Neodiprion lecontei: one gene and its partners. The protein of the gene in region 1 binds, or shares a complex with, the protein of each later gene. Links are inferred from orthologs where the notes say so. Each region holds a gene or a part of one and is shown in the gene's direction. Other genes may lie near its edges.

Region 1 (8,671 bases):
AAAGCCCATTAACGGCAACTGTCTTTATATACTTTAGTCAACGATTCTTCGTTTATTCTTCGGTTCTTTCCAACAACGCATCGCAAGGAAGCGTGAAGCGTCCGACAGATCCATTATATTAGCTTCAACCTACCATAAATACGATCAAAAATAAATTTCCAGTGGGTACAATTATTGGTTTACAGTCTGGAATGTTATAATGCGATACCAATGTAAGGTTGAAATTATTTATAACTGAATTATAAGCTACTTACTTCGTAACTTCAGAAATAATATTATTGCCGATAAACAAACTTCTGATTTTAATGGTACATTTGTAATTTGATTATGAATAAATGGAATGAGATGAAATATACAACCTCGTTTAATTATTCATTTAATAACAACCATATTACAACTTTTATATTCGAAACAAAAGATAATTCAAATTATCGGTTTTTTGTCGTATACGATTTGCAGTATTGCACGGTCTTACGCAGTCGATAAACAGTGGACGATAATTATCGTACACGATTACCTAACGGAAGCTCACGAATACAGCTACATAATATCGAATTCGATATTTCTATAGACTTTATAAGTCTATGGACATTTCAGACCATGGAGAGTAAAGAAGAGAGTAAAGGAAACCTCCGTGAAGTTGGCCCCCCGAAGTTGTTATTTTTAAATCTAATTAATGCAATTCGTTTGAGAATCGTTTGAGAGGGTTTGAGAGTAAAGAAAAATCGTTTGAGAGTTAATAGTTTTTTCGGAAACCTGATCCTAATTTTGGGTGTGAAGTTGGCCCCCATATTTTCTATCTCCTCAAAAAATAGACTTAGACGTTTAATTTTTTTTTTAATCGTTTGAGAATCGTTTGAGAGGATTTGAGAGTAGAAAAAAACTGTTAGATAGTTAATATTTTAATTGATATACCTCCGTGAAGTTGGCCCCCCGGAGTTATTATCTTTAAATCTAATTAATGCACCAACTTCACACCCAAAATTAAAATCAATTTTCCGGAAAAACTATTAACTCTCAAACGATTTTTCTATACTCTCAAACCCTCTCAAACGATTCTCAAACGAATTGCATTAATTAGATTTAAAAATAACAACTTCGGGGGGCCAACTTCACGGAGGTCGGAATACACCCTCAGACAGCCCCCTGACACATGCTGCTAAAAGTGGTTCGCCAAATGTCCCTCGATTCTGCCGCCAAGTTCCACCACTAGTGGCGCCAGTAGTTACCTGACGAGCTTGCGCGCGGTCAGCGAGGGCAGCAAGCGTGTCGGAAGTCTACCTGGAGTCTACTAGCGCCACGTAGAGGAATTAAAAAACGGGGACAAGACGCGTACAATTTTTTAGTATACGAGCAGTGGTGAGTGTCAGGGGGCTGCCCTCATACATCTCGCATACGATATCTAGGGTCTTTAACTCGAGAATAGAGCCCCTATACGATAGTTTCTAGTGTATAGCATTCAAGAAATTTCGTGGAGTGTTGTTCAACGTCACAGCAGCCACCAGAAAACACTATGAAATTTGTCGTTTTATCTAACACTCTAGAGGTGCTTCTAATTTATAGTGAGTACATCATCTATGTCCTCAACGATGTATGGCTGAGGCCTTTGACGGTTCCCGGTTTCGGAGCATTCGCGTCTTTTTGGCGGGCGCAGTGTTTGGAGGTAGCCTAAAACTAGCTGGTTGTACAGAATATCTATTTCAAACCAAACACAAATGGGAGACAAAGACGGAGGTGAGCGTGCTGAGCGATACTTTAAGCCATAATCAAACATTATTTCTTCTATCTCTACGCACTTAAGCAATTTAAAGTTGTTATTGATACATCCCAAATCCCTTGTGAAAGACTTGTATTTTTACTAGCTTACGCGCTTCACATTCCGAATCGCATTCACAGCTCGCGTAATAAATTTATTCCTGTATTACATACACCGCGGATTTGCAAGATTATAATTTCGCAGCTCCTAGGCAATCGCGATTCTACGCATCTCTCAAATATTTCAGAACATACACAGCATCTACTTTTGCACAAAGTCGAGCGCAACGTTCGAGTCCCTCTTCGACTAGTTATTTGTAGAGGCCGGTAATTTTTTACTGCAATATAACAGTATAAGATAATATTTTTGAGCATACGTACATTTTTATGCCAACTTTGAGCGATTTGATAATAGCACTGAGTTCGAGCCATTATGAATTCTATTTGCTCATTTTTCATTGTTCGCATCTTCTGTTTGAATGGATGAGGTTATCAGCTGATTTGAAACATGAAGTAAACTACTGAATTATTTTAATGTAACCCAATGCCACAAGTACCCTATAGAAATTCATACATTACATCCACTTTAGACAAAGCAATTGCTTCATGTTTATAGATACTGAACAATCTTTAATCGAGTTTCCGAAGATGCAGCCTCACCCAACGAAACATGATCATAGTCATATGGTCTGGGAATGTTGTAATAGTGAGGAAACCTTTAAAAATTTCAAAGTCATTATATCGAAATGAAATTACACGTTTAAAACCCTTTGCTCGCTAACTGTGATAAATATACTCGTTACTAGTCCTTGGCGTCTAGTTGCTAGAGAGAACTGAGCATTAGAACCCCATAGAATTCTATTTGCCACATGAAAAGTTAGGAAAAGCTGGAAATATATATATTTTTTCGAATTGAGAGAATTACAAATTTGCATTCAAACCTGTAGTTTGTAGTTTATTATATTAAACATTGGAAACATTGGAAATGCTCATGCGGATTTGAAAATAGAAAGTAGGGAAAGGGCTGATCCAAAAAGTCTTACATACACTCATTTAAACTAAGATGAAATGGATGTATATTTCGTTTATAATATTCTTGAGAAGATCAATTAACATGAAAAATGTTTTATAACATAGACAAAATACATGTAAAGCAATGAAAAATAATTCCTTAACGTGGGAAAACATTATTTTATATTTTGCACATGTGCATTATTTTTCATTATACTTTCAATTTTTTCTGGTCCAGTAGTTTTGCATACATACCATGCTGAAACATTTCAGTTATACATTATATCATTTTTGTATATGTCTTTTTCACTTATGTGTTATTTATTCTGGTCCCTAGCACCATTTCTCTATATCAACGACAATTACATTGAATTGACAATCACCTAGATTTTCAAATAAACATCATCAGTATAATTGTTAAAGCTTTCCGTACTATGTATGCAACCAATTTGCAATGAATAATTACTGCATAAAGTTTATTACTTATCTCGCATCCTATATTTATTCAATGGTATTGGTTCAGTTTACTGTAAATAATATGATAAAACGCCAACTCCGAAGCCATTTAAAATCATAAATTCAAGTAAAACGCATTAAATAAGAAATCATGGATTTTCGTTTTAACATTATTCTCACTTATAGATCATAATTTTCATACTGTTTAAAAAACGTCTAAATAAAGTTTTATTGTGTTTATTCTCTTACTCAACATTATAATGTGATTTACAATAATGTCACTATGAGGCTAAAGAATTAGTTGGAAGAATTGTTCATAATATTTGATCAGGTTTGATTTATTGAAACCTGTTGATTTGATGTCGAAACTTGAAAAATTCAGATAAAGCATAGGAAATCTAGCAGTATTTTTTGATACAAGAATGTAAAGGTAGCAATACCGCACAGCGAGTGCAAAGGCATAGCACGAGCTCAACATCGCCACCTTTTGATCGTGTATCCCATGCTACTTTTTTATTACATCTGCAACGAAAATTCTGGTTTTATTTTTTTATGCACCGTCCACCCGCATTGAAGAAGTCTTTTAAACCTGGGCACGAGACAATTTTTTTTTTAATCTGCTAGCGGTACAAGAACACTTGCCTGCAACTCTATTGGCCGCTAGCGGTTTGAGAAAGTTTTCTGGCACTGGTGCCTAAAAGACTCCTTCAAGTACCTGTGGATGGTGCATAGAAGAGCGCTTTTGGTACAGGTATTACAAAAAAGAATTTTAAATGTTGCATTTACTAAGACTTTGTACAGTTGTCCAACACCGGACGCTACCCATGGTATGATGTGTAGTTATATTTATATCTTGCCAAAAAATATCAGAGTATTCTATTTCGTTATTTTGTAATCATTGCAAACAAGTTTTTCTATCCATGTTTAGTGATTATTAAAAGGTGTTAAATTCATACAGAATAGAAGTTTTTTTGGGTAGTTATTTGTTTTTGCAAATTTTCAGCAGTCATGTTCCGACAATGTTTAAAAAATGTAAATATTGCATAGATTAAACTAGAAAACTTACTTTCACGCACTTCAAATACAAACTGCAGTCAATGAGCAAGAAATCTACCTGTTGTTACACAATCATGCCTGATGCTTATTTCGCCAAATAAACGTTATCGGTGACATGTAGGATGTAGAGTAATGGTCACAAGTTACAAAATAAGGATTCCGCGACGGCAATCGGCATTGAGTTTCGAATAGGAATTAATTTTATTTGGTTGCTGGACAACTTGGTTGTGAACAGTGACATGTTTACACCATCTGTAGTGCTAAATTTACTCCAGAGAAAATATTTGCTCAAAACTTGTATCATCAATGGAAAAATTGCATTATATGAACGCGTAGTCTTCTTGCGAGTCATTCGTGTTGACAATAAAAAATTAATTTCCTCATATTGGTTATGCGATCATTTGACGAATGAAGGAATATTTTTCAGAAACATTTGACGATGCGGTTGAGGAACGTGTCATCAATGAAGAGTACAAAATATGGAAGAAAAATACTCCCTTTCTGTACGATCTTGTAATGACTCATGCCCTGGAGTGGCCCTCCCTTACAGCTCAATGGTTGCCTGATGTTACAAGACCAGAAGGGAAAGATTATTCTGTGCACCGTCTTATTTTGGGTACTCATACTTCCGATGAACAAAACCACTTGCTAATTGCCAGCGTACAGTTACCCAATGAGGATGCACAGTTCGATGCTTCTCATTACGACAATGAGAAAGGAGAGTTTGGAGGATTTGGATCTGTCAGTGGAAAAATTGAAATCGAGATAAAAATCAATCACGAAGGTGAAGTCAACAGGGCACGTTACATGCCGCAAAATCCATGCGTCATTGCTACAAAAACTCCCTCCAGTGACGTACTAGTATTTGACTATACCAAGCATCCCAGCAAACCCGATCCAAACGGTGAATGCCATCCAGATCTCAGGTAAAAAATATGAATAATTATTACGTTCATTGTCAAATTCCTTGCATAACAATATTATATGCATCACACTTTCGTAGGTTGCGTGGACATCAAAAAGAAGGATACGGCTTGTCGTGGAATCCAAACCTGAACGGCTACTTGTTGAGCGCATCTGACGATCACACTATATGCTTGTGGGACATCAATGCAACACCTAAAGAGCATAGAGTAATCGATGCCAAGACTATATTTACTGGTCACACAGCTGTGGTGGAAGATGTCGCTTGGCATTTGCTCCACGAGTCCTTGTTTGGATCAGTAGCTGATGACCAAAAACTTATGATTTGGGATACAAGGTATAATGCTGTGTTACGAATCCAACTTTTTTCATGCTTTAATTCATTTCTCATACTAAAGGCTTTAGGCCATTTGAATATGTAAGCAAATTATCTTTCATTTTACTAGCATGGTAATTCGAGTATATACCGGCGTTCTATAAAGTTACCCACCGACCATAGTAGCTCAGGTGCTAGCACTCATGGCTGAGGAGCAGGAGGACTCTGGTTCAAATACCTGGCTTGTCAATTTGGTCCTGAACGGCAATTTGCAAAAATGGAAGATGCTCACGCCGTTCAGGTGCCGGATTACTGGTCGATGGTTTGGACTTGGGTCCAGCTACACCTGAACAAGCTTTTCGGCAGTTTCCCTTGTCCCTTGTGCAAATGCGGGTGTTTCTACTACAACTGCCACAAATCCCTGCTATACTCCTTACTTCCTCCCATCGATTGCAAATATAATTGTGATTAAAAAATAATAATTATTATTATTGTTAAAGCTATTTGGACCACTGATTTTTTTAAAATAGTTACTGAGACAATTTTCAATTACAAATATTACTAATTACCACTTATTTCTTTCTGATTATTAGCTATTACAAACATTTCACTAACACTGAACTAGTTCAAATAATATATTGAATAACCGGAGTTTTTCTAATGTGTTTTTATGCTTGCGGACAGATGTAATAACACAAGTAAGCCGAGCCATACTGTGGATGCTCATACAGCAGAAGTAAACTGTCTGAGTTTCAACCCTTACTCGGAATTTATATTAGCCACAGGCAGTGCTGACAAGACGGTAGCTCTGTGGGATCTGAGAAATTTGAAGTTGAAGCTTCACTCATTCGAGTCCCATAAAGACGAAATTTTCCAAGTACAATGGTCACCGCACAATGAGACAATTTTGGCTAGCAGCGGAACCGACAGACGCTTACATGTTTGGGATCTGAGTAAGATCGGAGAAGAACAGTCCACTGAAGATGCTGAAGATGGACCACCCGAATTACTGGTAATATTCACTGAATTCTACAGTTTGCAGCCAATTTTGACTCGTTTCGTTGTTGTTCTGTATGTTAGGTACTATTATAACACTGGTAAAAGAAGAATCACTTTTATTGTTTTTATTTCCTTATTGTATTTTGTGGTTAGAGAGAGTGAACAACAGATGTAGAAACTTGGGTTTGTAAAAAGTAATTTTTTTTATTACCATTGGAAAATCACGTAATATTTTTGTTTTAGTTCATTCATGGTGGACATACAGCCAAAATAAGTGACTTCTCTTGGAACCCCAATGAGCCATGGGTTATTTGTTCTGTGTCAGAAGACAACATAATGCAAGTTTGGCAAATGGCTGAGAACATTTACAATGACGAAGAACCAGATACGCCTGCAAGTGAGCTTGAGGGTGGAGCGTCATAATTTGTTGCAAGTAATTTATTACTAATGGTTTATACCTAATCTTCTTGTACCAAATAATAATGGTTCATCGTCATATTTCACAAGTTTTATTGCATAAGGTGTTTATCATTTGGTTGAACGTTACTTACGAGATTTCGGAAAAATCACTTTGAGCTGAACAAGCAGGGTATTTGTAGATATCCTTGTTAAAGTCAGGTTATTCCACGTTTATCTTTACTTTTGTACAGCGTTCTGTTGATCACGCGAGTTGATCCCTTGGACACATGAGGCTGACTGCAGTTAACAATCATTTTATTTCGGGCACATACAGAGAATTTATTAGTATGTCATTAGTAAGATGAAAATGTCTCTTGTTCAAGTTCATTTATGTTGATCGTTAAATTGTCTTCATATACCTAAAAATCTCTTTGTAATATTGTAATACATATACCCAAATTTCTCACGTTTTTTTTTTTTCGACATAGAGCAGAGAGTTTTAGGAGCATACTAAAATGTAATTTTCAACAGTTATGGAATAACAAGAATTTCTATGTGTGCCCACAACATATGTAAGTCAAAAAATTGAAATTGTTGGTTATCGACAAATCCGGATGGATACAAAGATAGTAAGAATAATCACTTCATGCAAATTATGTGTTCAATGGGTCATCTCTTACTTAATTATAAATATTATCACTGAGCGAATTGACATTATTACTTTTTCTACGAGTGAAAATATTCTTCTAAGACATTAATTAATGAATAAACATAAATAATTTCACAAAACTCACAATCTATTATATGTACCAGTGTCATGTCATCTGGATCAGAATCTGAATTGAACTGTTTTTTATATCAGATCTACTGTTTGTCTGTTGTCAAAGTTTTACAAGGTATCCTGGCAACAAAAAATGTGTAATGAGTTATGTTATTGTGTTGATTAAAAACTTTGATTACATGATTTATGATTGTTGGTAATTCATCATAATGTACGTAACCGTTGGCGGGAAGTTTAAATTTTTCATCTAGAAAATTTAAAATGAAATAATAACGTAATCATTTTGTGTTTCATTATCTATTCTAATACCGCGATTATATTATATTTGTATTAGGTGTTTGATTTATTCTCATCATAGTCTTTAGTATCTCAGGAATATCATTAGTTCAAAGTTCGTTTGCATGAGCATACTCGTACGAGTAGTTTCTCAGCGTTAATTATTGTTTTTGATAGTAAAACAGTGAAAAGTTGATTGGAGTGTTGATTCATTTTCTGTTTATATTTACGAGGTATACGTGGGTATACAGTATCGTATAAGTGACTAACAAAAATCTACAATGGTTGTTTTTTCAAACGCAATAAAGAAACATTGTTTAACGCGATAAAATTAAAATAAACCCTGATAAATACAAAAAAAAAAAAAAATTACTCAATTAAATCGCTCCTAGTCTGGATTTTAAATAGTTGTAGTCGAAAGCTCGTCGTATATCTCAGCAAGAAGTGAAGACTCCTCAATTTCTTCTCTATGTTCTGGTGCAGGATTGTCAAGCGATACAACGTCCTCACTATCAATACTCTCCAGTCTGTAGGGCAAATCAAATTGTACTGATAGCATTTGAGATTAGCATGTGAATATTCACACATTACCAGTAGATTCTTCTCGCGGCTGGCACATCGCCTGCGGAATGAGATCTGTGTCTGCTAGCATGCAAATGGAATTAAAATAATTCAAAAATCAATACTCAGCATTCCAA
Region 2 (8,667 bases), on another chromosome or scaffold:
TAAATTGCATTACTGGATCATTGATGTGGCATAATTATTGATGAAATTAGTCGAGTTATCTCAGCCTCAGCTATAAGGACGGTTTATAATGTCCGTAACCGTAACCGCTTCCGTAGAAGTTTCATTTTGCGTAGAAATTTCAAGACTCGTTTACAACCTCCATAAGGTATGGCCTCGCTGTTGGTTGCATCTGCAACGGATAGCGTTTGAGCTTTTCTTTACGTGCAGAATAATATTTCTAACCTCAAACTGAAGTAAATTTTGCTAATTAATTATGGTTCGTAGTGTGAGCTCAGTTTAAAATGAAACGAAAGCGTTCGTACGCAGTAGCAACTTTAGGGTTAGTAACAGTGTTATATTTTCTGATAAAGAAAAGAAAAAAACAAAGGCGAAAACGGCGTTGGTGGATTCGTCCTATGCTACTCGACAGAAAAGAAAAAGGACAATACAATAACCTATTCAAGTTTATTCAAATTTTTTAAATATACAAGAATCACTATCGTCGCTTTCAATTACATCCATGAGCTCTAGTATGCGTCTCCGTGCCATCTTATTTTTCTTTGATAATTTTTTCATTTGACTGTACAACATCATACAAAAATTCCAATTTATATCAGATTTTGTATCTTGGTCGTTGCTCAAAAAGTGCTGTACGGTTTTCAATGTATCTTTCACCGTTTCGATCAGATCTTCATTGTTGTTTTTTTTCACTTTTTTTCCATTTCCTTCTTGTGGAGGATTCGTTAATGGGACAGTTCGCCTTTTCTTGGGCGGTAAATTCACCTTTCCATTTTCATCTGTTATAATCATGCCGATAGAGTCCTCTTTGTACTGATTTTCATCATTCGAATTTAGAAATTCATACACATCCCAATCATGCGCTGACGGGTCCATATCTGGTTCTTCATCCGAAGACAATGTTTTCTTCTGGGAAGAGCATTGTGGAATATTACCAATTGTCCTGTAAAATAGTCGACGTATAAAACATACATTCAACAATGATCATTAAAGCGAATTTCAGCTGTGAAACATCGTTTTGTCCTTGGTCAATAAATTTGATAGAAAAAGACAATTATGTTTCCAAGATAAAAACAGTCTTAATTTGCTATCAGACGAAAAATGAAACTTACTTTCTTGGTTTGACGTGCAAATCGAGGAATTGCATCGCTTTGAAATAGCTTGATGGCTGCCTGTCGGAAACACCGCCTGCAGCTCCCGATGGTGGACCAATTCTGGCACAGCGCTTTTCCCGTGAAAAACGCTCACGCAACAACTTCCACCTCTTCTCACAATCCTCAGCTACAAAATATCAAGATAACTTTAAGCTTGTATCTTATATTTTTACAACACATTATGAAGAAATATAGTAGTTTGTCGTCAATGAATTTGGGAAAGATTTATTAAATTTGTTATAAAATGTTTTATGTATAAATTTTATACATATATGTTTATATATAAACATACAAAATGAAGTAACCTTAAACACTTACTTGAAATATTCAACTCCCGGGCAATACGGAACCACGTATTGTTTTTTTTTTACCCTATCTTTATAATCACCGCTACTTTTATCATACAAGCACGGGGCTTTTTCAACTAGTCCAATTAATTTCATATCGAAGCTTTCCATTGTTTTGCTTGCTGTCGTATCTTCAATGACTTATTTTTCCTTTCGTTTTGTGTGCTTGGGGGTGGGGAGATGGACGGATATAATCTGCATTCTGATTGGCTGTCCGTAGAAACGCTTCAGTAGAACGTTCAAATTCGGCTAGATTCTACTGAAGCGGATTATACTTAAGCGCCAGCAGACAGCGTTGTAAACCATAGTACGGTTTTTCATATCCTTTAACTTCCTACTGAAGCGGTTACGTTTACGGTTACAGACATTGTAAACCGTGCTATAGGCTCCAATCGGTCCTGCGGCCGTTTCCAGCACATACCTATACGTTTATGTTGCTTCGGTCAAGAAGACGCCCTCTATGATTTAAACCCGAGTTTGAGTTCAGCCAGTCGGTGATGGCGTATCGCGTGCGGCAATTTCGAAGAGGAGTGCGTTTCGTTTTGAAAATTTTGACAACGGCCTTTTAAAATGGCAGACAATCAGCAGAGCAGGTTCGAAAAGTCACTCGGTTTGCTGACGACGCGGTTTGTAACTTTGTTACAAAAGGCGAAAGACGGAGTATTGGACCTGAAAGTGGTGAGCGGCGTCGATACGTAAGCTAGCAAAAAGTCACCGCGAGATCTAGGTTAACTTATTATGAGCATATATGTGTACGTTTTCTGCTGGTGTGGTTCCTCTTGCGGGAATTTTGAAAAAAAAACAACATGACAAAAATGCCAGACAATGTGCAAATCACGAGTTCCAGTTCATGAATTACAATGCGGGTAAATTTTATAAGGGTTTGGAGTTAACCACAGTTGAATACAGAGTTCATAATGAAGAAACTAATCTCGTTAGTTTCCTAACCTGTAACACATTTTTATTGTTGTATGATAGATAAAGCACTCGAAATTTGAATTTATATATTATGAGAATAAAATTTCTGACTGCGTGTGATTATTCAATGGTTATTACATGAAACGTTCAAACTTTTACAAGACTGATACATTAATCTGTGCCAACACTTTCCCTTAGGCCGCTGATATACTGGAGGTGCGACAAAAGAGACGAATATACGACATCACTAATGTACTCGAGGGAATTGGGCTGATTGAGAAAAAAAGCAAGAATAGCATACAATGGAAGTAAGTTTGGACATGATAAATATCATTGCATTATCACTCAAATAGTAAGGCACGGCACAAGCTACTTGCATATTTGTAACAATGTGCACATTTCAATTTCGGGCTTTTAATTTTTCAATGTACATTTGCTCGTTTTGTTTAATATCACTCGAATTTCCGTTTGCTTCAATACATCAATGTTGCTATTGATTTTCAGACTAGAGTATGATTATTTATAAATCATTGATCGAATTATAAGTAATAGAAAAAGCTGTTGGATACACATAAACAAAAACAAAAAGTATTACGATGAAAGTGTACTACAGATATCAAATAGTTTCCAAGTTCAAACATGTCGTAAAGTTCAGAAAATTTCTACTTTATATAGAAATGATGGTCTTGCAATTGTGGTTTAATTAAATGAAAGAGTAATTTCAGAAGAATGGCTGGTTCAATGGGACGGTGCCAAACCACATACCCAACATCTGTAAGGAAATGTGACATATTTGAATGTGATACAATTCAAAAACCATGCTTGAGAGACCGTTTGATTTAAGATTTTGATGATTCTAACACACTGCAATCAGAGATCTTCGCAATCAACATCAAACCCGTCCAGTGATAAGATTTTTCACACCATCCAATTGCTTGATTATGTATCGATTCATAATCACGGCACTTAACGCAAGCCATGGAGTTACCTCAGTTTACTGGATCCTCCCGCTTGATAATGATCCTCGGTACTTGTCTTATACAGTGAATTTTATTTGGTGTTCCAATCCTATGTTGTTTCGTCCAGATTTTTATTTGGTAATAGATTTGGTCATACAAAATTTCAGAGAAAATATTGAAAACTTCGAAAATTTGAAAGAAGTCATTGAATTTTATTCAATTTCATCAATATATTTATTTCATGTAAAAATAACCGTATATTCACCTTGTTAATCCTGATTTTATCGAAAAGCTAAGGAAACTACGTAAAAAATATGCTTCCAAACAATCAATATTTCAATGGTTTGAATCCTCACGCGACCAACGCAACCTGATTTTCGGATTTTTCACAAAAGGTTGCATAAGAAACTGTCATTGAAATGTGTTTTACCGTGGTATAAATTTATGATAATTTGGAGATTAAATTTCTCTAACTTCCACAAGTATTAATGCTAGTGGTTAAGGCTCATGTATATTTATTTCGAATCTTCGTTCACTTATCTTCTTAACAATGAATTTTCAGTGGCAGTTTTTTGTGCAATTTTTTCTGAAGAATCTGGATATCATGGAATCGTTTGGCTGCCTGAGGATAGAGTATTGGAACATTAACTTTTTAGAAACATCATTTTTTTACCTTATTTTTATAGATCTTCAACAAAGTTATGCATACATTCATACGGCTTCAAGAGACTTATCATTTAAAATAGAAATAAAATTGAAATACAGTAGAACCTTGATCATCCGAACCCTCAATTATTTGAACATTGGCGCGAAAGATACATTGTTGCTCGCTGCCACCGCCGTGAGCAACAATGTATCTTCGCGAAAATCGCGGGCATGCAAAAACGCGTTACAGACGTTCGTTGATATAAAATTGACGATGTCATAAAAAAATATAAACAAAGGCATTCGAGTTTTTTCAGGTGTTTAAAATACATGCATACACACACGCACGCGCACACACACGCACACACATATATTTCAACGTTACTATGTATGTCAAATCTTAATATATATATGTATGTACTGTTTTTGTGTAAAAATGTGTTGTTTGTGATCTCAATCCAAAAAACCCACGGTTCGATTATCCGAACTAGTCTCTGTCCCAATTCGTTCGGATAATCGAGTTTCTACTATATCTTCATCAGGTTTATAGAAAAATACTTTTAAGAAATATCCCTTTTTTACAGAACTCCAAATCTACCAACCCTTCAGAGTTAAATGTATACAGGAATTTTGTAGTTATGCTTCAATACTTGTTGCTGATGATGATGCCGCATTTAATTTTTGCCCTGAACCTCTTTCTTCATTGGCCATTGCTCTTTTCGAATTTACCATCTAATATTCATTACACTGATGAATTAATGATTATGGTATTACAAAATTTAACGTATCATCAGAGGTGCTGGACCTGGGTGTAACACACAAGAAGTTGGTGAAAAGCTGACCGAACTGAAGGATGAAATCAAGAAACTAGAGGAACACGAACAGTTGTTGGACACGCATACCCAGTGGATTCAACAGAGTGTAAAGAACATCGAATGTGATTTAACAAATAAGAGATACGCTTACCTCACGTATGAGGATGTCAAGAAAAAGTTTCAGAATGAAGTTGTGTTGGGTATTCAAGCTCCACCGGACACATTACTCAATGTACCAAATATTGCAAAGGTAAAGAGGAGCGAAATGAAAAAAATGTAGTAAATATGGCTGTAAAATTTATAATTTAACTGTTGGTCCTCTGTTTTGACATTCAGTTAATAGAAGAGAATCTTGATGAAATTAAGAATCCTAATTACGAGATATCCATGAAGAGTGCATCGGAAGAAATTAAGGTGTACATGATTCAGCCAGAGCTCGCTGAATGTTATGACAACAAAGTACTTGAGGCCAGACTTCGAGAAGAATCTAAAGGTACTAAGAGGGAAAAGGATGGAGATGATAAGAAGGAGGAATCCAAGCCAAAGAGAAAAGTTGGAAGGTAAAACATAAGGCATTTAAATATTATTAATTAAAAAAATGAGTTGAAGAAAGGTACTGCGCCGCTTTCGCATCAGAACCGGTGAGTTCACGTTTCTGACCTGCAAAAGGCGAAAAATAATGATGAGGGTCTTATTTGGGGGATGGAAAGTCGTAAATTTAGGCTTGTTCAATTGGATCAGACCCTACAAATATCCTCTATAGAAATTTTATTCATTGATCACAAATCTTGTTCCCTGTGTAGGTTTTTATCAACTGGAATTGAAGAGAAATCTTCAATACAATGTTTCTTGCAAATCAATTGCCTGAGATGCAAATTAAAACTAATTCCATTTTGCTTCTGTTCAGGCCACCTAGAGGGGCTGGGAAAGTAGACCCTGTATTATCAGACGAAGACGAGGAAGAGGATCCAGAATTACTCGAAGCGAAAATTATACTCAGCGATGTAGCAACGTCAGGTAAAATATACTTAAACACAAAATATTCATATCGTTTAAAATGTCCTGAATTTTATTCATTTCATCACTTGTGTTTTCATTTGTTTTTGTGTTTTCTTAGACATTGTCAGAACAGATTTGGACCTACTGGACGAGTTTTATTCAGATTGTAAGTTTATATTGTCGTTTTTAATTTTTACTACATCTACTACACAACTGTAAATGATTTATTATGTCTTCTTATTTGCCATTCTCGAAGTCGCTTATGAAGTTTTTGTTTCGATAAAGTAATTTATAGATCTTCTGAAACCCATAGTATTATAAGCCATATTTATTTTATGATTAAACCTGATGTCAGTATATGTCAAATAATTCTTCCTTTTGGCTTTTGCATCTACAAAAGAAAGGCAAACTCACCAATTTTGCGAGCATTGGAATGAAAATTTCGTATGAGTTATTTCATGTCAAGCCGGACACTTTGCGAGTAAAATATCGATTGACAGTTTTAATTTTCCTGAGACTTTTTTGTGTATGCTTTCAATGAACAAATGAGAGGTGTTTAACTGCAAAAATTGGTATCTGTATTTTTGATTATGTAATACGTCAAATTTCAATTTTATTTCAAACGCTATTTTCTAGCAGCTATATCTATCAAAGTAGTTAAGATAATTGAACAAACAAAGAGGCATCGGGTTTTGAAGTAATATAATATAATTTCTTTTTAATACCAATCTGCTGTAAACTTGATTATCTGAATTCTTCGACCATGCTCTTCTTTGTCGATTGCCAATTTTTAAATCTTGAAAAAAAAAATTGTATTCATTTACTAAATATACATTGATCATACTGGTATAAACCACGATGTAGTATTCGTTTTTAAATTACCGTTTGAAAAAAAATTATATGGCATGAGTTTGAAAGGTATTTCATGCACTGTTCGATACCTGTATTTTTCACACTAGAAGGTAAATGTGGGTATCAAATTTGAAATTTAATATTGTCTTAACATAGAAAATATGGATATTACATTTTTTTCGTCAAACGGGGCATAACTCGCGTATAAAAATGATTACTTCTCTTCATTTTCGTGTCAAGATTTCGAAACATCTAAACATCAGTTATTGAGTTTTTTTCAAGTTGAAAACATCAATTACAATATCCAACTTCATGTTAAAGTTTTTGTTTACATATATTTTTACAGTTTGCGGACCTTTGGTGAGACTCAGTCCACCACCGGGAGAGAAGGACTATCATTTTCATCTTAGTGAAAACGAAGGACTCTGTGACTTGTTTGACATAGTTGCAAACTGACGGCAATACATTAAAAAAAAATAGTTTATGGCTCCGCGGTATCGTGAAGTTCAATTTTCAGGTGTTTTTACGCCTGATGAATAAATTGATGTGAATTGGATTTGACAATAATGCGTCATACCCGTAATCACACTAGATCATTGTCGACCACCCTGTATTGATATACATGTATATAATATATATATATACATATATATATATAAAATCACGTAGGTAATATGTATAATTGAGTAATGAAAATTGCGGGCCAATGCAAAATTATTGGCTCTGATACCTTAATTAAATGGCTATATTGTGAAGTACCTTTTTTGGCGTATTACATACGTGAAAATAACTGCCAGTTAGCGATGTCTATTTTTAGGCAATAGATTCACACGCTGTAATGTTTGCTTGGCTACACTCACAAGAATTCCACGTGTCTTATGTTAGTAAGGATTAGTGATTAGCATCCTTTAACCTGGGATGCTAGGTAAAGTATTACCTAATATCGTATCTTCACAATTTGTATAGCAATGCCTGGGTTCATGAATAACGTGACACACTTTGTTAGCGCCATTGATTTAGTTTACGAAATCTAGGAAGGCTATGTTATGAAATTTTTAAGTATTTTATAAGAGAAAACAACCCCCTGTGTAACGATGACGACAAAAAGGTATACCTGTCTGTCTTATATACATTTTCGAGTTTTTACCTGTTAAATTTGCTAACTAGCTCATGTACACCTGAGTAAAGTCGACTCTGCCTTACTGCTGCCTAATTTTAGTAGGTTGGAAATAGGGTTGGCTGCACTGGTGTCTAACATACGCGCACATTGAACAACAGATGCCGCGCCAGTTCGATGAGGCGCTGCCAGAGCCAGCCGTATTTCTCACCCACTGAACTGAAAGGGTCAGAATTTACTACTCGGGTCTGCATACAATGTGTATGTGCTAACGAGATCATATAAGGTGCATACAGATGTACGAAACAACATTGTGTTGCTGTTTTATCTATTATACAAATAGAGTGTAAGACAAAACGAAAATAGAATGTCTTTTTATAAAATAAACTTCGAAATATGACCAGATTTTAGATCAGTCGGACCATAAAATTATTTTCTTCCTATCCTTGTAACAACACACCTTATATCCTATATTTGCGACGTATTATTGAAAGCAAGGTCAATCTGTGCTTCAAACTTGTAAGAGATTTTTTCAAGAATCAAACCTCTAACGAATTCATTATTGCTATTATTTTGCGAATGGCTTACAGACAAAATAATGAGGTAGTACAATTCTGTTTATTACAGGTGCATGATTACTGGAAAACTCGAATTTCTGTATTCTAAAATTCATTATAGCAGTGTTTCTCGATCATTGTTGTATCCAATTCTTATTCTTGATTAAGAAAAATTTCTGTGATTCACTCAATGGAAACAAATTTCCCAATTGAAACAGGATTCATTTTTCATCGTTCGTGTTCACGTGGAATAGTGGTCAAAGTCCGACGACGGGACACAACAGAG
Region 3 (8,877 bases), on another chromosome or scaffold:
ACTGACACTGGAAAGCCAAATGTGTGCAAACTCCTGTCTGGTAGGTGGAGAAGAGGTACGCCGTGCAAGTTTGTGCTTACAATGTCACACAATAATATATGTAGCGGCCTATTATGCGAAAAACCGGAAATTCAAAGTAAATAATCTTTATGATAACTGACGATTTGGATAAACCGAATCATTGCTCTGATAATTAATATTTTGGATAACTGATGTTCAGAAAATTAATGCTCTACGGTATAAACAGTTCAATAAACAAGTTATGTACGCAATCGTCGCCAATGCTTCGAATTGCGATGCTCATTTTTTACACTTATCCATTATTTATACGCGTTTTTTTGGACTCGCCTTAGTGGAAGTTCTACTTAAACGTAGATATATTTTAACAGACTATCCTCGCGTGGCACATGCTTGAGAGAGTGTTGCAAGTTTACTTCAAAATTTTGCAAAAAGTGTTAGCCATCCAAAGGTGGTCCAAGATATACCATTGAAACTTCTGTATTACCATAAACAGCCGATACGGACGGGTATAATCTCTTGTCGGGTAATCCTGTACAAAAATGTCCACTTCATTAGAAAATACATGAACCAACTATGACAAAATTAACATTGTTGGCAAAAACAATAATATACCTCTAAACGCTACGCCCAGGAATTCATAGTTTTTTTCAAAGGACAGTGTGTTGTCATCACAATCCAGTATTACTCTTATTTTCTCACCAATCTGAAATTAGATAAGCTTTTAATAAATTGATGTATCATGTGCTAGAAATTCTGAATTTTCATTTCAATAAAAATATAAACGAGCTCATACCAAGTAAATTATTTTGCATAAGTTTTTCACTCTATAGGACAGATTTGTGAGAAATTAGTAGAAGTTGATAAATTTTCAATTTAATTGGTGGAAAAATTTTTCAACAAATCTTACAAAGTACATGTTGCTGGAATTTTCATTCAAATGAACATTTGGCATTTGAGTCACACCGCGCATTGACTTCCTGAAATTTGGTGCCTGCAATTTGATGGATAAGAATATGTAGCAAATTATCAGCTTACCTGATACTTTGGAGCGTTGTTAAGAAGAGGATAATTGCCTTGTGCATCCCCATTGTGTAACAAATGATTGTCGACAAGGTTCCATCCCCAAGAGTGTTCGTCGGAACCAAGTAGAGCTACATACCCTTGGCAGAGTAGAGATGCTTCTTTCGTTGCTATTCCTATCACAGCTACGGTTCCCAAAGGACCTTCCCAAATTACCTCCCACGCATGACGTCCATGGCGGAATCCTATCTTACTCCGAGAGGCATCTGTACTTTGAGCGACTGGATTTCTGGAGGTTGAAAATGAAGCGAATATTGGAATGAAGAAAATCGCTTGGTTTGTGTGAAAATTTAAAGTAACGGGTATGTTGTGTGCATTGAAGTCAACTCAATCACAGCACGTGACAAAACGTAAAATATACTGCTATTGCACCTACCGGTGCAAAGTGAACCCGTTTGGTTTGATGTAAATATTGCGGGAACAATCGTCAGGGTTCCAAGCATGGTAAAAAGCTCGTAATTTGGCTTTATAGGTGGGAACCGATGACAGCAAATCCGACTTGAGCGCTTCTTCAGCGAGTTTTCTAATACAGTGTAACCGCCATACATCATTATTCTCATCGTTCAAAATTCTATACCAGTTCTTACACACCAAGGAACAATTTCGCAAATCGTGCAATTTTAAGTAGGAAAATATCACTTCTAAAACATGATCGGGAACCCTTGACGCTATATCGTCCATTTTGCCGGTCCTACGTGAACGACGGAACAAAATACAGGTGGGATGGAAAGGAAACGAAATAGGGAGGTCGTTCTGCACTGTGATTCGCAGATACATTGATTCACTGACGTTTTGTGTAGTAGCGCTGAGTTCCCCAGCTACACATAATTCGATACTCAATGACTGAAGTTTGCGGTAGACGGGGAACGATGAGGAACGGAGCGAACCACGTGATCAGCACTGGCCAATCAGCTGTTTAGCTTTGTGCTACCGCCAAGCTCGTCTCGGCTCTACTTGCACTAAAAAGCTGTATTTTACTGACGCGTTGTTAATGTCGTGATAACGATTCAACGAGAAGCTGTGTGTCGCGCACGATAGCGCGGTTAGTTTATTTTGATAATTCGCAATATTATTGATACTTGGTAACCGGGTTTTTACAATATTTACTTCACAAATAGTGCAATGCCGGAGTCGCCATTTTGGTGATACGTCGAGTCCGACCTAACTATTGCACTTATGATCTTTTTATTTTCACGCGAATTTCAGTCCGCTTACGGGATCATATTTGATACCTTCGATATCCAGAAGCATCAGTGATGACCCAGCAAAATAAAACGATGAATTTCTTGATACACGACGCAAATGGTAAGTCGTCCAACTGGCGCGCCAACAATCGGCACGCACGGCTCCGTCTCTGAATATTCCTTGTCGAATGAAGTGTGAAACAATACCTCGTGCGATCAACCGAGGAGCGCGTTTTCTAACCAAATTTCACGATTCTTATATTTCGCATATCCATTTCTATTTGGATTCGTCAATTTGATCGCAGGCTCCTTGCTAAACTCAATCACGTTAAAACGTGTGTTTCGCGTTTACTACCAGAATACCGCGAACGAAAGAATGCAATTTTTGCAATCTTTGTTTGTAACCGAATCTTACATTAATAATCTTGATCGAGATTTCTTTCTAAGGATTTACAGAATATCCCAATCACTTTCATTTACTTATCGATAACTAGAACATCCCACTGTATAGTTCTGGATTTCCTTACGTTAAACTTACAATTTACACATTGACACTGACAAATTCTCTGTTCTTTTATTGATATACTTGTGGAATCCATGAATAATAAACAAACATATTTAGTACTGCTCGCGTGATTGTAATTGGTTCACTTTCATTGAGAAATAGCTATTGGAAATTGAAGATTAATGTTAAATGATATTGCTGTTTGGTATTCCTATTTTAGTTAAACTAGCTGTATTGTTTTCACGTAATAACGTGTATTGATAATCAGTCGTACACTGAATATCATTCTTGTAGATCTCAATTAGGATATAAATAATTCATTATTGTTCTTCTTAGCAACAAGGGCATTCCTTATTTGCCTTCAAGATCAATCAGTTGATTTGCCTCTAAAATTTGTGTACTACAGCAGCATTGACTCTTGAAGGACGAATGCCATTCAATATGAAATCTTAAATATTTCAGTATTCCCTACTGCTAAACACTTGATACTACTCAGAAGAGCCATCTAATGTACATACATTAGTTGATTAACTGAAGTTTTGGATCATATAAAATTGTTAATCTGTGATATTTTAAAAAAAATAAACTTTCTTACAGGCCAACCACAAGTTATTAAAGTGGTTCCGAGCACGCCGAATAAAGCACTAACTGGGCTTGTTAGCACCACAAATTCCGGGAGTTTGAAGGTATTCAAGACACCTGGCCAAGATACCCAAGTAAATATCATTTAAAATATATAATCAGACTCGCAACATTTGTATCATTTTTCTAATAATTACCATATATTGAAAAATTGCTCTACCAATATTCAACAGGTTTGCAAACATATTTTAATTATGTTATACAATGAGTACAATCCATATTATTCTGCACTCCCATCTTGAATATTTTTTACGGTTCCCATTTGTATGACTACTGAGTATGGTTCATAAAGCTTTCTAAGATGACACTGAAGCTCATATTTATAGACCTATTCGGATGAGCTGATTCATATCACAATTTAACCCAATGGCCACAAACAGGAGTTCTCAAAACAAAAATTCAAACTGTCTCACAACATATAGTATTTCTGACGTGTGCTATCTTGTACATTTTTTAATCAAGGGATTCAATAGATGATACGCAGAATTATCCCCGCCTGCTAGTGTAAGCTTCCAGCTTCTAGCTTCAACTTTGTATTTACAGGGTGCCCAGTGGTCAGTTAAATGTGTAGCAATTCGGGGGATATTGAATCACTTAGTGAGTGGGCACCCTGGGTTCATTGTGATGATATTATGACCATTACTGTTTGCACACTCAGGTCTTGTCCAGTGGGACACAAGTACTGAGAACCATCAGTTTGCAAGGTTCTTCAACACCTGGTCAGCGTGAGTATTACAGATTCTTACCTAGTTTCTTGCAGTACATATTGACGGATCCTATGAAAACAGAAGTATTTCGATGGGTCGGATAGAACACTTATATTTTGCCGCGCAATCTAGAATGGATGTAACTTAAAAAGTGTTACAGCATGTCCATACAGAGCTCTATACACAACTTTTAGCATCTTTTAAGATAGATCCGTTTTAGGTTACCCAGTGAAATACGGCCTTTCTATCTGGACTGTCAAAATATGTTTGTTTCTATAGGACCCATCTATATATCTGTCTTTTCAGTTATCAGAAAGTTCACATTTCTCATGTAACAAAATATTTTTCTATTAGGCTTAGTTACCATCCCTGTACAAAGTGCAAAAATGTCATCTGTAAAAGCTGGGGAATCTGTAGTGACAAAAACAATACAACTTACAACTGCTCGAATGGTAGGTTACAACATCATGAGCATTGGGAAAATATGAATCAGGAGCTATTCAAAAAAGACATTAGCTTTTCCTGGGGGATCCTGGATTATGTGGTAGTAGCATAAAGCACACTGGTGGGGGTGCAGATGAACATAATGTTCAGTTACTGTAGGTAGATTTTTAATCATCTGCAGCCCAGGTTGATTTTATTAACGTTAGCTCTACTAGTGTGGTAATATTATATATTATATTAATTTTTATCATTTTGTTAAAAAGTTTCTATTGAAATGAGAGTTTGTATTTTCAGTATCTAAAAACTATCAGAAGTGGATTTGTTAAATATCAATTCAGGGGGATTAAAGTAAATGAATCCATTAAACAAAGTTGATGTATTTTTTGAATGGCCTCTGATAAGCTTGATTGGATTTTGTGTTATGATTTAATTTTTTTATTCAAATCTTTCCATTCAACAGAATGATTTTAAACAAGCGTTGGTATCCCAGCCTCAACAACAGGCCAGCAATCAACAGCAGATTGTCAAAGATCAATCTGGAAAGACTTTCATCAGCCCCATTTTGGATCACAGTGGTTCGAGGAAACGACAGGATGTCGAGAGCAGCGATTTTACCCCAGAGTAGTGAGCTTGGACTATTCTTAATAAAAAACTGAACCTTTTCCTGACGGGGTTTATCTCTGAATATTGAATGATGCACACGTTTGGTTTTGAAATACATATCACGATGAAATATCATAGAACTATTGATCGTCAAGTAGCACAATAAATTCACGAATCTTTCAAAAAGTTCAAAACAGAGGACAGTTTAGAAACTTATCTTTAAATAAAACATGAATCATTGATTTCAATTTGCAATGTGCAAACACATGTCACTGATATTATCTGACTTATTTATCTTAAAGCAGCGACAACTTTTAAGCATAGGATGCATATCAAAGTATGTGTCTGAAATCGGGAAAGGGTTCGTTTTCCAGATTAATAGATCTGTATTAAATTTACAGCAAACGGAGAAAAACAGAAAAAGTTGGAAAGGGGCTTCGCCATTTCTCTATGAAAGTCTGTGAAAAAGTGAAAAAGAAAGGTACGACATCATATAATGAAGTTGCTGATGAATTAGTTGGCGAATTCACCAACCCTGCGCACATAAATTCGTTAACTGATCAGGTAAATATCTTTTATCGTTGATATTTGGAACCTTGTTGTCTTTTCAGGCAACTCACAGATAGTGCTTCAAAGTTTGATCTTAGGTGCAAAAGTACATAGAGAAATGATCTCAGTCTTGCCAATGAGTGTCAAAATTTGCTTATTCAATTCCAATTTCACTCAGGATTAATATCTCTTTTGCAGCAGTACGATCAGAAAAATATTAGGAGACGTGTATACGATGCATTGAATGTATTGATGGCAATGAATATAATCTCCAAGGAGAAGAAGGAGATAAGATGGTTGGGTTTGCCCACAAATTCGTTGCAAGAGTGTTTGTCGTTAGAAAAAGATAAGAAAAAGAAAATAGAGAGAATCAAAGCCAAAACTCAGCAGCTGCATTCGTTAATTTTGCAGCACATATCGTACAAAAATTTAGTTGAACGCAACCATAAAAACGAGAATTTTCATGGACCACCTAAACCTAATTCTGCTATACAGTTGCCATTCATAATAGTTAATACCAGTAAGAAAACTGTTATTGATTGCAGTATTTCAAACGACAAGTAAGTGTCAGTCTTTCTTTTTCATGTAGTATTTTTTTACACAAAATTAGTTCATGTTTATAATTTATAGGAAAGTTCGATTTGCATATTTTACACGTATCTACGAGTAATGCTTCTTATAATATTTGTATTACTTTCAGAACCGAGTACCTGTTTAATTTTAATGATAAGTTTGAGATCCATGATGACATTGAAGTTCTGAAAAGAATGGGTTTAGCCTTTGGTAAATACTAATTTAATACTTTGTTCCAAATATTGATAAATTTGCACGAAAATCTCGGTACAAATGTACATTTGCTTCAGGCCTTGAGAAAGGAGAATGTACTGATGACGATTTACGGAAAGCAAAAACTATGGTACCAAAGTCCCTTGAAAAATACGTTGAGCGTAAGTAGCTCTAGTTACACTTGATTTTATTTTAAGGTAAAGGTGCTGTGGCATAAATCTAATATTATCAACTAATATCCATAGAATTGGCCTCTGGGGATTTGGAAAGATTCATTCCTGTTACAATTCCTGGGCCGAGTACATCGATGGATGAACTGGAAATAAAATTAGAGGAATCTGGATCTCGGCCACCTTCTTCTTCTCGTACCTCTCTCTCGGAAGATCCTTTGTCTCCACCTTCCCAGTTTTTCTCTGAGGAAGAAGATGAAGAAGAAGAAAGCGACCAGGACGATCAAGTCGACAGTGATCTTGAGGCTAACTAGCATATCCATTCATCATCCTCTTAACATATTTGGTAACCACGAAATTGGGCTTGCGGTGTCGTTTGAATTACACAAACGTAAAATCATTTTTATAGAAACACTTTGCATCACCAGGTGCTTTGTATTATTATTGCGCCACGTTGCCGAAATCGTTGGATGCAACGGATTGATTATACAGTGATTGAATTTTCATGCCTTCTCACTGAAATGGAGTCTCATACCTTACTTGGTTGGCTAATTTTTGCTGACGAAATAATCGAGACAATATCAAGGAATACATCTTAACATTGCCGAAACAATCTATTTTGGCTGTAGGAAGACTCCAGAATTACATTCATGTTTCAAAACAGCTGAAATTAAATTTTATATTACTGGAAGGTATATTGTGTTGCAGGTTGAGAAGTGTAATGAACTAATAACAGCGAGTAGGGTACATGTCACTTTCTTTCTTTTATGGAATAGCATAAGACTAATGCGTAAACGTCCGTAAATCGTATTTCATGCCACTTTGATTGTTATTGCTCGGATACGAAAGCGACGAGTTAGCTAACCGACGTGCACAGGGACTGAAATTCGGTGCTATTTTAATCATGCGTCGTGTCGTGAATTTAGACACTTTAGAATGTATGTACTATAAATAACACAATTATAATCTTACATTAATATTATTACATGTATAAAATATATCTATACCACTCATTTTCTTATGGCACGTTTATGATATCTGTGGTTCACAGCAGGACGCAATATAGCAAAGGAATACAGAGAGAGGTCTAACTAATTTGAAGTGAATAAATTGTAAAATTATTACAAGTGACTGTATATTTTTTTTTTCTTCAATTCAAGTTTTTAATACATTTTTATTATTTCTGCGTAACTTTACTATTCCGGATATAGAATGCCAAATTTTTATTTGAGCGCAATTTTTTCCGTTAGAAAACATATTTAATTCACTTGATATGGAAAATTCATTGAACTTTAAAAGATTACTTGTAGAAATTTATTTTATGCATACTGCTGTATCGATTTTGCGTATTTTATTGAATTAGTCTTTTACCCAAAATAGGAATTTATGTTGCAGTTCCAGTAATACAAAGTAATCATTAGCTACTTATTAATAATTAATATTCTTCAGTTTAGAAATTGTTATTATTAACAGGATTAAGTGTGATACGATTATTTAGAAATAGGTATTTACGTAATTTCTCTTATTTCCGAAATATTTCAACTCTTCGTTCCATTAATGAGCATCTTGTAAATGTTTAACATGGCTCAATGCGAATTTTGTTTTTGGATCGAAAAAATATTTTTGAATAATATATAATAATTGCAATCTATGATTAGGTTTGTAAATGATTTTAGAGGTCAGCTACCTACAAACATGTGTTACTGACAGTAACTGATCTGATACTGAATATGTATCATGAGGATAGGGTCTGTAAAGCAGCATCTTCGGACATATGTCAGAAAAGTGTATCTTGTACACAATAATTATTACAACATTTCACAAATAGCTGGATTAATTGAATGATTGTAAATAAATTTGGACCTCTCATTTATATTAATTGGTCGTTATTAAATTACTATGTTCATGCTATACTTAAGCTTGTCTGAATTTTTGCCATTATTTAGGCTAATGCAATTTTTAATTTTCAATTGATATATGAGGCATTATATTCTGGCTAGATGTAAATAGTTTTCAATGCCATTTAAACAAATTAGTTTCATCTTTAGTTAACTAGGTTCTTTCTATTATTAGCTACTTCTGGTTAACATGTGTGTGCTATATAGATACATTGCTCAGATTGTCACAGCATCCTAAAATCTGAGTTGTAAAGCAGTTCGTGATATTTTGCTTCATTAAGTTCATAA
Region 4 (5,996 bases), on another chromosome or scaffold:
AAATATGTTCCTATGTTATTTAAATGGGAAATAAAACATTGCGATGAGGCACCTTTAAATATTAATATTAAGAGCTGAAACATGGATAGCATGTTTTTTTATCGTCACTTCAAACAATATTTTCGACTTGTATACAGTCTAGTACACAAGTACACATGTGTATCAAGCACAAAAGTTTGAAAAAACTAGGGGGATTTCTCCTGTAAACCAATTATGTTTGGTCAACTGCTCAGATGGCTTGTATCAAGTCTACACAATACAAAACCAGCCATAATGTACATTTTTTATAATCGTAAAGCCCAATGGCGAATACATAATAGTGAGACTAAGAGGAGCAAACCTTATCAAGGGTGTAATGAGCAACAGCCTTTGAAACTTCATCAGGTAAGACCAGCAACCGGCTACTAACCTCTGTCAAAACTTGTCTTGATATAACCAAACTTACGTTCTCATTGACGACTGAAAATATAAATAATTCACCATTAGTTTCTTTGCAACATAATAAATGTTTTGAGTATGTAATGATTCCGTGCGAATAGATTTACAAAAAGGAATCAGCTGTAAATAATAGATACATTGATTAATGTGCACATACTTGCTTCGATAAAGAGTTTCAGCATGTCAACCAACTCCTCGCCCGCAGATTTTACCAGAAAATCCAATAGCGTTCGGTATCTGAAAAACCATGCGGAATTAATATTCAGACGACATGAGACAGCATGTGAGCAGAGAAACGTACCTTTCTGCCTGGTCCTTGTGAGAACCTCCGGCATGAGATAAAGTACTCAGCTGTTGCCTCACCGAGGCCATCATCACGACCATATTTTCTCCCAAAGTTTCGGTAATTCGGCTTTGCACCGGTTTCAATCTCTTTCGATCGGGTTCTTCAATTTTTGCAACGACCACGAACGTTTTGAAGATGCGACGAAGACGGTAGACGTCGTTTGCAATTCGACCAAATTGAAGAATGCTGTGAAACACGTAGAATGAGAAACAAGTTCATTCCTGCGTTCCGAAATTAGATCCAGTATCGACAGTTATTCTACATCTCTGTTCCTCTATCGAAATCATGGTAAGCGCTGCCTCTATTTTACGGAATTTTCAGCGAATGTGGTGTACATCCGGTACATTCTTTTGAAAAATAAAGTAACTGCGGGCAAAGCTGGGGGTCAACTTCGATGTACTTTCAATAATTTGAACAGTGCTTGCGTGCAATATGACATTTTGTATGTGTTATTCATAATTATATAATGGTAAATAAATTTTTATTATAAGAAAAAATGAAATCATGGTAATAATACTAATAATCAATAGCTCTGTTCGTTTTAGTTACACTTTTCTACACTTTTTACACTTATCCTGAATTTAGCCAATGGAAGGTGCCCTTTTCTAGGGAAAGTGTAAAAAGTGTAGAAAGTGTAATTAAAACGAACAGAGCTACTACCAGTCCCGCAACATGCTTTCCATGATGTCACTATAAACGACTACCTTTGCGGGGTGTGGGACGGAGGTCAGTAGCGGCTGAATAACGTGACCCTTCTTACAATTTTTGCGAGTTGCTCCCACGTTGCTCCCCCTGCTTCCCATCGTAGAGCTGAGGACTTCAACTCAAGTCCTCCCCGTGGTCCTCCCGTGTATAACTCTACTACGCCCGGTGATACGGAAATACAAATTACATTTTTATTTTTAAATCACGTAGTATATATTACAACTTACATTTGTAATCTTCTGTATATCTGTAAACGTTGTCCACGTATTTCAAATGCGACAAAAGATTTAACAGGTCCATTCTATACACAATTCTAAACAAAAACACTGCAACGAATTTTCATTTGACGCAGAAATAAATAAATGTCATAAATTCTACGAATTTACAATTTCGATTTCGTAGAAACCATGCCTCCAGTAGTATATAAGTGTTTGAGATTTAGATATTTGGAAATATATACTATAAATATAAGAGCAGCCCCTTAAACCTGTAATTTCTTGTACATACATCTATATTTTGGGAAATATATAATAATATAATATCAACTATACTACAATTGTGCCTATAGGTTTCTCTCTGTGCCTATCACGTTTGTTATTATAATTTTGTACACCATGCACTGGTTTAAAAACTAAAATTCCCTAGGAGTGAGACCGAGCGATCCATCGATCAAATAGTGCAACAGAGATAGGAGATTACTGTGCGTAGTGTCAGAAATGTATCCCGAGAAGCGATGCAGCAAGTGAACGGTTAGAATTTCTTCCACGTATAGCGCGACCATTAATGACTTTGGGTCTGTTCGTATATAGAATAGAAGCGCGTGGTGCATCTTGGGATAGTAATGGTGGGCGCGTGATTTTGAACAAATTCGGGATGCCAGAAAAGTACGCAGGTGAGTTCAGAACATTCGGCAGTACTAATTTAGAGCACGTTCAAATCGCATTTATTTTAAACTGTGCTTCAGTTCTGAAGTAATTAGAGTCATTGCTCAGTCAGAATGTGAACCATCGTATGCGCGCAGCACGAACTTTCTGCAAACAACTGAGTTCTAGGTTAACTTCAATTTTTCGCAATTTTGAGCCTCTTTCGTGTGAATATTTCGATCTCAGATGCGTTGAATAATTCTCTCGTATTATACTCACAGAATAAGTAGAATCTTCAACTATTCACCTAATTTTAATAGTCTTGAATCCACATCGAATACTGTTTGTGTTAAAATGGCGCGTTGATGTAACAAATGGCGCTAATGCGACCGTCTGTCGTCCAAGCTTCGAAACGTTTTGCATTGATATTCAAATTTGTTCGTTCCATTTTTCAAACTTCGAATCCCTGCCCATTATTGCTTCCCCGATTAGCGATCGATTCCACGCCTTCGCTTGTTTATCGCTCCCAAAACGCCTGAATCATTAACAACTATTTGAATTTTTGAATTTTTAAAATCACGCTTATCCTCAGTATTGAACTATAGTACAAACAACGTCAACAAACTATACTGCTACATAGTGACTACAATCATTTCGCTTTTCTCCTATCCCAATGAAATTTTTAGCTACCCAATTTGAGATAAAATTCCTTGGAAAAAGTTCCAACTATGACACTTTGCTGCTTATTTATCTTCAGCAAGCATATAAAGCACAGCTATTTTTGAAGCATGAATTGTGCAAGTAATGAGTCTACTTCTAATCGCCAGGTGATCATGTTTGTAAATCGATAATACCTTTCGGTGTGTAAACTCACCGCTTTACAAAACTGGCTTATAAATGTATCTCCAATTTGGCAATTTCAGCTAAGGAATAATAAATTTTGAGCAGAGTATGGCTGCAAGTAATAAAAGCCCAGGGGCAAGAGCCCTTGTTGAACCTCTGGCATTGGATTCACGAACGTTGAGCGATGGAGATTTCAGCGCTCTAAGTTTGTCGCACAGCTCAGAGCAGTACTCGAACAACGACTTTGAGGCATTGGCAAGCATTCAGGCTGAATTTGAATGCATGAACGCTGAAGAGGTAATGACAACTGACGACGAAACTATGCTTCTCGATCGAAGCATTGAGTCTACAACTACAGCGTCTGACATTGAGATGACCGATCTATCGGACAACGCTCAGCCTGAACAGATAACTTACTCATCAGCAGCTAATCAGAATAGTCAAAATATTGTATTCCAAACTAAACCAACCCTGCAAAGAGTGCCTGTGTCGGCAATACAGGTAAATTTCCATTTTATTATTTCTGTGACTTTACAGATTATTGAAATGTTTTTCTCTCTCTTCCTAGTCTTTGGTTTAGACCGTGAAGCCCATCATCCTTAAACTTGAACATTGCTATTTACACTTGGGTAAAACTTTTTTTCAGGTGAAGCCAACTGTGCCACAAGTGTCTCAAAGCCAGTCAATAATGATTGTGTCACCAGCAGGTGGCCAAGGCACAAGCCAAATACTGAAAATATCTCACCCATCGACAGCATCGCCTGGTCAGTTACAATCGCTGGCTCAGACTCTGATAACGGCCAAGTCTGCAGACGGCAACATAGTACAGCTGAGATCGGCACAAGGTTCAAGACCCATCGTGACAACTAGCCAATCTGGGACCATCACTCTGAGCAATGTACAGAACGTCAAACCTGTTCAGTCGGCGATAAAAAGACCAGCTCAGTCTGTACAACAAAACAGAAACGTGAGTCTTACTTCATGGATCGTGTGCTATCGAATACTGGTATTTATCACCTGAATGAGAAATTGAAATAGAAATATTTTACGCTTTGTTGGTGTAACAATTGTTTTTTATTGAATTCTTATCGATCTGCCTTCCATTTACTGCAAATTTCTAATGTAATTTGAACGGAATAAACAGGTATACACAAAAATGATTCTGACCGGTAATCAGAGCCAGACAGGTCAACAGGTTTTGCTTGCCAACACCCAACATGACAATCAGCAGCCGCAGACTATCAAGTTTATCACGAGTAGCGGAGCCAGTCCGAGCATCGCAAGCCCAACGAAAACTATAACTTTTGCACAAGCTCAGCAAATGGGACTTCTCTCCTCCGGGAAGATACAGCAGATACTGCCATCGTCGCCGCACAAACAGCAGGTATTGTTACTTAAAAGAAATATTTGTAAGACTATTGTAGCTCATACGCGTTCGATTTATTCTACGAATATTCAATAACTTCAACAGATGTTGTAAATGGGGTCTGGGAATTACTCATATTTCTTGAAAACTTCATTCTCTGTTGAAAATTGAGAAATTCTAAGCTTTCTGTTTTCTGACTATTTCTTAAAAAGTTGACTAGGAAGTAAAGATCGAACCAATTTCTAAAGAATACCTATATGATTCTGGAACCGAATTTAGTAACCAGCACCTCGCATAGTTCAAGATTTGGTGTTTCTATGTATTACTTACTGGCATTGCATAGAAGAAAATTATGATGAACATCTGAGAGAGATTTGAAATTTTCAGTTGAACAGTTGAATCACATGTCTGAAAAAAAATATTTTCGGTAAAACTAGGATTACAGAAAGTTATCAGAATTTTCAAAGGAATGGCATGGGTTTTCCACAGATGTACTGAAATTAATTTTCTGTTTCGGAAGTAAGATATTTCTGTAAAACTTCTAGAAATGTTTAGAAATTGTAAGAGATTTTTCAGAAAAACTGGGAAACTCGGAAATTTACATTCTAAGGGAATACGTGCACATTTTTAAACCTTTCTGCACATAATTTTTGCCGGAGGTAACTTGACTTAGTGTATTAAGTGTTTAAATGTTTGTACAGGGTATAATTGTGAATAAATTGGTCACATCAACTTCAACTCAACCTTCCAAAATGACAATTCTCCCAGCTACGACTGTGAAGCCCCCTGCCAAGATATTACCAGCCCCTACTTCAATGACTAGCCACGCCAAGTCATCAATAGTCTCCAACTCCCAAACCACAACGTTCTCCAGCACTGGAAAAAATATGCCACAGAATTCACAAAAAGTCATCATAAGACAGGTATTTTTAGTTTTACAGGAACCTGTAAAAGTATTTTATTTTTTCAGAAGTAACATGCATAAATATTATTCTGTGGACAGATACAAAATGTACAATGATAACAAAAAACTAGCCTTTTGCACACGTTTTTTCTTTTTCTCAAATATCATTTCAATAATTGAAATCTCACAAATTTTCTTCAAGTATTCAAGCTACTGGTAAAGCCATATCCGAAATAAGAATTAAGCAGCCAAAGATTTTCGGAGCCACCTGTATTTTGCACGGGATGTTTCTGGAAATTTCTCTTTTCTTTTCCCTTTTGAGTGAATTTTCAGCTGGCACATTAAGCGACAAAAACTCGCATAGTCGTATTAGAAATTGATTTAAATGAGTTTGTCACATGTTTTAACGTAGAAAATATCCTCCTGATGATGGTGATGTGTGGAAAGCACGAGACGCTGACTGGCAAGAAACTTCTGACAAGCTCTATTCAATACTTTGGAGATGAATTGGGATGAAAGCAAAAGTACCAT

Evidence for each region.
Region 2: chromatin assembly factor 1 p55 subunit (region 1) and transcription factor E2F4 share a complex: the UniProt entries of both Drosophila melanogaster proteins name them as parts of the DREAM complex. The link is inferred for Neodiprion lecontei from reciprocal best matches to the Drosophila melanogaster genes Caf1-55 and E2f2.
Region 3: chromatin assembly factor 1 p55 subunit (region 1) and transcription factor Dp-1 share a complex: the UniProt entries of both Drosophila melanogaster proteins name them as parts of the DREAM complex. The link is inferred for Neodiprion lecontei from reciprocal best matches to the Drosophila melanogaster genes Caf1-55 and Dp.
Region 4: chromatin assembly factor 1 p55 subunit (region 1) and protein lin-54 homolog share a complex: the UniProt entries of both Drosophila melanogaster proteins name them as parts of the DREAM complex. The link is inferred for Neodiprion lecontei from reciprocal best matches to the Drosophila melanogaster genes Caf1-55 and mip120.

The regions. Positions count from the first base shown.
Region 1 is NC_060260.1:23,046,030-23,054,700, reverse strand, and holds chromatin assembly factor 1 p55 subunit, read left to right. Parts: upstream 1-1,595; 5' UTR 1,596-1,715; coding exon 1,716-1,734; intron 1,735-4,705; coding exon 4,706-5,204; intron 5,205-5,281; coding exon 5,282-5,539; intron 5,540-6,202; coding exon 6,203-6,530; intron 6,531-6,760; coding exon 6,761-6,940; 3' UTR 6,941-7,485; downstream 7,486-8,671. Other genes in the region: slowpoke-binding protein, read right to left, coding at 8,374-8,500. UniProt on the Drosophila melanogaster protein: Core histone-binding subunit that may target chromatin assembly factors, chromatin remodeling factors and histone deacetylases to their histone substrates in a manner that is regulated by nucleosomal DNA.
Region 2 is NC_060264.1:11,855,842-11,864,508, reverse strand, and holds transcription factor E2F4, read left to right. Parts: upstream 1-1,963; 5' UTR 1,964-2,089; coding exon 2,090-2,197; exon of another isoform or gene 2,198-2,214; intron 2,215-2,243; exon of another isoform or gene 2,244-2,379; coding exon of another isoform or gene 2,380-2,385; intron 2,386-2,635; coding exon 2,636-2,745; intron 2,746-3,162; exon of another isoform or gene 3,163-3,378; coding exon of another isoform or gene 3,379-3,464; intron 3,465-4,835; coding exon 4,836-5,106; intron 5,107-5,192; coding exon 5,193-5,416; intron 5,417-5,763; coding exon 5,764-5,873; intron 5,874-5,973; coding exon 5,974-6,021; intron 6,022-7,053; coding exon 7,054-7,163; 3' UTR 7,164-8,229; downstream 8,230-8,667. Other genes in the region: uncharacterized protein LOC107216924, read right to left, coding at 466-961, 1,131-1,165. UniProt on the Drosophila melanogaster protein: Transcriptional repressor that binds to E2f sites and represses E2f-regulated target genes. Binding to E2f sites requires transcription factor Dp. Acts synergistically with Rbf2 to antagonize E2f1-mediated transcriptional activation.
Region 3 is NC_060261.1:34,106,090-34,114,966, forward strand, and holds transcription factor Dp-1, read left to right. Parts: upstream 1-2,015; 5' UTR 2,016-2,143; exon of another isoform or gene 2,144-2,307; 5' UTR 2,308-2,357; coding exon 2,358-2,406; intron 2,407-3,274; exon of another isoform or gene 3,275-3,300; intron 3,301-3,387; coding exon 3,388-3,506; intron 3,507-4,090; coding exon 4,091-4,157; intron 4,158-4,493; coding exon 4,494-4,591; intron 4,592-5,043; coding exon 5,044-5,207; intron 5,208-5,587; coding exon 5,588-5,750; intron 5,751-5,933; coding exon 5,934-6,295; intron 6,296-6,435; coding exon 6,436-6,518; intron 6,519-6,598; coding exon 6,599-6,682; intron 6,683-6,766; coding exon 6,767-7,005; 3' UTR 7,006-8,564; downstream 8,565-8,877. Other genes in the region: F-box/SPRY domain-containing protein 1, read right to left, coding at 456-550, 634-724, 1,057-1,330, 1,478-1,782. UniProt on the Drosophila melanogaster protein: Component of the DREAM complex, a multiprotein complex that can both act as a transcription activator or repressor depending on the context. In follicle cells, the complex plays a central role in the site-specific DNA replication at the chorion loci.
Region 4 is NC_060261.1:11,990,597-11,996,592, reverse strand, and holds the start of protein lin-54 homolog, read left to right. Parts: upstream 1-2,305; 5' UTR 2,306-2,381; intron 2,382-3,275; 5' UTR 3,276-3,303; coding exon 3,304-3,696; intron 3,697-3,841; coding exon 3,842-4,162; intron 4,163-4,339; coding exon 4,340-4,579; intron 4,580-5,262; coding exon 5,263-5,484; intron 5,485-5,996. Other genes in the region: COP9 signalosome complex subunit 4, read right to left, coding at 341-459, 596-675, 740-822. UniProt on the Drosophila melanogaster protein: Component of the DREAM complex, a multiprotein complex that can both act as a transcription activator or repressor depending on the context. In follicle cells, the complex plays a central role in the site-specific DNA replication at the chorion loci.